2 linked regions of the Saccharomyces cerevisiae S288C genome follow. Changing the gene in region 1 together with any one later gene gives a genetic interaction. Each region holds a gene or a part of one and is shown on either strand. Other genes may lie near its edges. The genes, in order: EMC10 and NTF2.

Region 1 (3,336 bases):
TTCGCTAACTTGCAAAAGATTAACTCTTCATTGGGTTTCATCAACAACTCCATCTCAAGTTTGAATTTCACTAAGCTAAACACCATTGGCCAAACCTTCAGTATCGTTTCCAATGACTACTTGAAGAACTTGTCGTTCTCTAATTTGTCAACCATAGGTGGTGCTCTTGTCGTTGCTAACAACACTGGTTTACAAAAAATTGGTGGTCTCGACAACCTAACAACCATTGGCGGTACTTTGGAAGTTGTTGGTAACTTCACCTCCTTGAACCTAGACTCTTTGAAGTCTGTCAAGGGTGGCGCAGATGTCGAATCAAAGTCAAGCAATTTCTCCTGTAATGCTTTGAAAGCTTTGCAAAAGAAAGGGGGTATCAAGGGTGAATCTTTTGTCTGCAAAAATGGTGCATCATCCACATCTGTTAAACTATCGTCCACTTCCAAATCTCAATCAAGCCAAACTACTGCCAAGGTTTCCAAGTCATCTTCTAAGGCCGAGGAAAAGAAGTTCACTTCTGGCGATATCAAGGCTGCTGCTTCTGCCTCTAGTGTTTCTAGTTCTGGCGCTTCCAGCTCTAGCTCTAAGAGTTCCAAAGGCAATGCCGCTATCATGGCACCAATTGGCCAAACAACCCCTTTGGTCGGTCTTTTGACGGCAATCATCATGTCTATAATGTAATGGAATGAAGAAATATTCTTCATTTTTGATAACTAGTACCTGTCATTCACGACATGTGAACAAATAAAAACATTTATTTAAAAATTTTATGTATTCAAATATTTTCGGGAAAGAGATAAAAGTAACGACACTTAAAAATTTAAAAAATCACAATACTTTATTTACTCAGTCTTTTGATCAGCTCCGGCACCTCCTTGTTGTTGCTTCTTTGCTGAGCCCGCAACAAAATTGTAAATCAATAGGCCTAAAAGTAACATTTTCCAGTTCTTTTGAAACCAAGACACCTCCTTAACCTCTTCATCTTCTTCGAATTGTGCAGTGCTTCCATCCTTATTCTTACTAGCTTTTTTATCAGCATAAGTTTTGGTTTTCTTCTTTAATTTGGTGACTGGTGCAGTAGGTCCCGCTTCTGGATATCTGACTGTAGCAGTAATAGCATCGTTAGTCTCGTCATATGATAACGACACTTGTTTGACCTCATTATCTTCATCTACATCCACAATTAAATCGTATTTTAGTGGTGTCCTCAGCTTCATGTAGCTAAAACATGGCATATCCAGCTTACCTTCAATCTGGGCATTCAAACAGTATTCTCCAGAAACTTCAACATCCTGTATATTAACGGTTGTTACTGTAACATTCCCATCGGATGTACTATCAATCTCAAATGTTCCTAGGGGTATAGCGTCTTTCGCATCATCTGAATAGCTTAATTGTAAAATATCAGCACAGAAAACCATGCTGGCCAATAAAATCACACGCAACAGCCGCACAAGCATCTTTCCTTCAATGAGTATTGTACAGTTCTTGTTAGATAGTGTTGAATAGTACCACCTTGTTTTTTTACTCAAAGTGTCTTTTATATACTTCTAATTATTCCTATATTTGGTTGGGTTTTTAAGTTACCAATGCAAATACAGTGGTTAGAGACCCAGCGCACGTATGCAAAAAAATACAGCGGAAATTTCAAGTAAAAATGTAGCTTCATAAAAAAGAAGCAGATTCCCTAAAATAAGCAATAGATCTTCACATATATCGTTATCATCCCCTTTCTTCCCTGTTTCAATGCAAGCTAAAATTATATATGCTCTGAGCGCAATTTCTGCGTTGATTCCGTTAGGATCATCACTATTAGCACCTATAGAAGACCCCATAGTATCGAATAAGTACCTCATATCTTACATCGATGAGGACGACTGGAGTGATAGGATATTACAAAATCAGTCTGTCATGAACTCGGGATATATAGTGAATATGGGCGACGACCTTGAATGCTTTATTCAAAATGCAAGCACTCAATTGAATGATGTATTGGAAGACTCAAATGAGCATAGCAATAGTGAAAAGACAGCATTATTAACTAAAACCCTGAATCAAGGTGTTAAGACAATTTTCGATAAATTAAATGAACGGTGCATCTTCTACCAAGCCGGATTTTGGATTTACGAGTACTGTCCTGGCATAGAATTTGTTCAGTTCCATGGTAGAGTAAATACAAAAACTGGTGAAATAGTAAATCGAGATGAATCTTTGGTCTACCGCCTGGGAAAACCAAAAGCAAATGTAGAAGAGAGAGAATTTGAACTACTTTATGACGATGTAGGATATTACATCAGCGAAATTATAGGGTCAGGTGATATTTGCGATGTGACGGGGGCTGAAAGAATGGTTGAAATACAATATGTCTGTGGCGGCTCAAACTCTGGACCATCGACTATTCAATGGGTGAGAGAAACAAAAATTTGTGTTTATGAAGCCCAAGTTACCATACCTGAATTGTGCAATTTAGAATTACTAGCCAAAAATGAAGACCAAAAGAACGCCTCACCTATACTTTGCAGGATGCCCGCAAAATCAAAAATTGGTAGTAACTCTATTGATTTAATCACCAAATATGAACCGATTTTTTTAGGTTCTGGAATATACTTTCTAAGGCCCTTTAACACCGACGAAAGAGACAAATTAATGGTTACTGACAATGCCATGTCAAATTGGGATGAGATTACGGAAACATATTACCAGAAATTTGGAAATGCCATAAACAAAATGCTTAGTTTGAGATTAGTATCGTTACCTAATGGACATATTCTCCAGCCTGGTGACTCATGTGTTTGGTTGGCGGAAGTGGTTGATATGAAAGATCGGTTTCAAACCACTTTATCGTTGAACATACTTAATTCACAGAGAGCAGAGATATTTTTCAACAAGACGTTTACATTTAATGAAGATAATGGAAACTTCCTATCATACAAAATTGGGGATCATGGCGAGTCAACTGAACTTGGTCAAATAACCCACTCAAACAAAGCAGATATAAATACCGCAGAAATTCGGTCAGATGAATACTTAATTAACACTGATAATGAGCTATTCTTGAGGATTTCTAAGGAGATAGCAGAAGTGAAAGAATTATTAAACGAAATCGTAAGTCCACATGAAATGGAAGTAATATTTGAAAACATGAGAAATCAACCGAATAATGATTTTGAACTGGCGTTGATGAACAAGTTGAAATCCTCATTAAATGATGATAACAAAGTTGAGCAGATAAACAACGCAAGGATGGATGATGATGAAAGCACTAGTCATACAACCAGAGACATCGGGGAAGCTGGATCACAAACGACAGGGAATACTGAATCGGAGGTAACAAACGTAGCA
Region 2 (2,879 bases), on another chromosome or scaffold:
TTCAAAAGTTACAGAGGTTCTCAACCTGTGATATTTCGGACGGATTGTTGAATGTTTATAACATTCCAACGGGTGGTTATTTCCCTAATCTAACAGCAATTTCTCCACCGCAAAATAGCTCCATAGTAGGCACTGCATACACAGTACTGTTTGCACCCATTGATGATCCAAGACCTGCCGTGAACTATATAGACTCTGTCCCTCCCAACTCAATACTCGTCCTCGCACTGGAGCCCCATTTGCAAAGTCAGTTCCACCCATTTATTAAAATTACGCAAGCGATGTACGGGGGGCTGATGAGTACCAGAGCACAATATTTGAAATCGAATGGGACAGTAGTCTTTGGACGCATAAGAGATGTGGATGAACACCGGACTTTAAACCATCCCGTTTTTGCTTACGGTGTTGGATCTTGCGCTCCAAAGGCTGTCGTTAAAGCCGTAGGCACTAACGTACAGTTGAAAATCTTAACGAGTGATGGCGTAACCCAAACAATATGTCCTGGTGATTATATTGCAGGTGACAATAATGGAATAGTACGCATTCCTGTTCAAGAGACTGACATTTCAAAATTAGTTACCTATATCGAAAAGTCAATTGAAGTGGATTTACTTGTCTCTGAAGATATTAAGAATGGTATTCCCGCCAAACAAGCTCAAAATGATCGAAGATCAGTATTAAAGAAATACATTTAAAAACGCTATCTTCATACATATATATATATATATATCTTCTTTATCGCTATCGCCTTATACATCGTTAGCTAAGCATCTTCAATTATGCTAAACAATATTCGAAAATGAAAATACATGTTTCTGTGGTGACTTAAAAAATCCTTAAGCAGAGTAATTCAAACGGAAGATATCGTTAAACACGTAGTAAGAGTTTCCATCAGGAATCAAATGGAACACTTGAGAGAAACGCTGTGGATTTTGTTCTTCGTCAATCAACAGATCACCAGTGATCATGACTAAGACATCGCCATTTGGGGAAGCAGGTTGCGCATCCAAAGTAGTGATACGATGTTGGACCTTTTGAAATGGCAAAGATACTAATTTCTCAACAATGTCCTTTGCACCTTGCAATTGACTAGTCTCGAATGTTAGCATAGATTCATTTCTGTACAAGTTACCCAATTGGCTTCTATCGGTATCAAATTGATTATAGTAAAACTGGGTGAAGTTTTGGGCCAAAGTGTTAAAGTCGAGAGACATTATAAAGATAATAGTATTAAAACCTGGGTTCCTTAGGGGGTATTGTACACTAAAAACTAAAAAGTACTTACTTATCAGCCTAAGTCTCACCTTGCCAAGTCAGAAAATTTTTCGTTGCTTTTTGAGAACCACGCTTGTGGGACTATGTCACCCGGTATTAATGGGCAAATACTAACTTGGTGAACACTTATAGCAATAACAGTATCATAGCTTATGAAGAAAAAGCGGTCATAAAGACTGAGTCGGTGCCAGATATCTCCAGCTAGGTAACAAGGCTACGCAATTTATTCTATATTATGAGGTCCTCGAAGTCTCCTTTTAAAAGGAAGTCTCACAGTCGTGAGACATCACACGATGAAAACACATCGTTTTTCCACAAGAGAACAATATCCGGTAGCAGTGCTCACCATTCTAGAAACGTCAGTCAAGGTGCAGTACCCTCTTCCGCACCACCTGTTTCTGGTGGAAATTATTCGCATAAGAGAAACGTGTCGAGAGCTTCAAATTCCTCTCAAACTTCGAATTTTTTAGCCGAACAATATGAAAGGGATAGGAAAGCCATAATTAATTGCTGCTTTTCCAGACCCGACCATAAGACAGGTGAACCGCCGAATAATTATATTACACATGTCCGGATTATAGAAGATTCAAAATTCCCTAGTTCAAGACCTCCTCCAGATTCAAAATTGGAGAACAAAAAGAAAAGACTCCTTATTTTGAGTGCCAAGCCCAACAATGCCAAGCTAATACAAATTCATAAAGCAAGAGAAAACTCAGACGGCTCTTTTCAAATTGGTAGAACTTGGCAGTTGACCGAACTAGTAAGAGTAGAGAAGGACCTGGAGATATCTGAAGGCTTCATTCTTACCATGAGTAAAAAATACTACTGGGAAACGAATTCTGCGAAGGAAAGAACTGTTTTCATTAAATCTCTAATTACTCTATACATTCAAACATTCGAAGGTCATGTCCCTGAATTGGTCAATTGGGATTTATCCCTTTTTTATCTTGACGAGAGGAGTTATCAAAGAGCAGTCATCACAAATCGCCCCGGTTCCGTATCTCCAATAAAGTCACCTACAAGTAATTTCACGACAAACACTACCCAATCGGTGGGCTCTGTCCCCTTTTCAGCACCTACTGAGAGGACAAGAAGGTCTGAAACAGAAAGCGTTAATCCAGTGTCAACGCCTGCAAGCGTGGAATATCATGCAGGAATGAAATCTCTAAATAAGGCCCCCTATTCTTCCAATTCGACATTGAATGAAGTGAATAAAAGATACGAGTTAGAGCAACAACAGCAACAAGAAGAGGCTGAACTGAGACGATTAGAAGAGCAAAAAAGACTTCAGTTACAAAAGGAAAATGAGATGAAAAGATTAGAAGAGGAAAGAAGAATAAAGCAGGAGGAGAGGAAAAGGCAAATGGAATTGGAACACCAACGACAACTCGAAGAAGAGGAACGAAAACGTCAAATGGAACTGGAGGCTAAAAAGCAAATGGAGTTGAAACGTCAACGGCAATTCGAAGAAGAGCAACGCCTAAAAAAAGAGAGAGAACTATTGGAAATACAGAGAAAACAAAGAGAACAAGAAACAGCTGAGAGATTAAAAAAAGAAGAGCAAGAAGCGCTTGCTAAAAAGGAGGAGGAAGAAAAAAGTAAAA

What was found.
Region 2: mutations in EMC10 (region 1) and NTF2 together harm fitness more than expected from each alone (negative genetic interaction), as found in Saccharomyces cerevisiae (one large-scale study listed by BioGRID).

The regions. Positions count from the first base shown.
Region 1 is NC_001136.10:564,187-567,522, forward strand, and holds EMC10 (Emc10p), read right to left. Parts: upstream 1,455-3,336; coding exon 837-1,454; downstream 1-836. Other genes in the region: PST1 (Pst1p), read left to right, coding at 1-675; YOS9 (Yos9p), read left to right, coding at 1,741-3,336. UniProt on the Saccharomyces cerevisiae protein: Part of the endoplasmic reticulum membrane protein complex (EMC) that enables the energy-independent insertion into endoplasmic reticulum membranes of newly synthesized membrane proteins.
Region 2 is NC_001137.3:170,450-173,328, reverse strand, and holds NTF2 (Ran GTPase-binding protein NTF2), read right to left. Parts: upstream 1,215-2,879; coding exon 837-1,214; downstream 1-836. Other genes in the region: YER010C (bifunctional 4-hydroxy-4-methyl-2-oxoglutarate aldolase/oxaloacetate decarboxylase), read left to right, coding at 1-695; GTP-Rho binding exocyst subunit SEC3, read left to right, coding at 1,511-2,879. UniProt on the Saccharomyces cerevisiae protein: Facilitates protein transport into the nucleus. Interacts with various nucleoporins and with Ran-GDP. Could be part of a multicomponent system of cytosolic factors that assemble at the pore complex during nuclear import.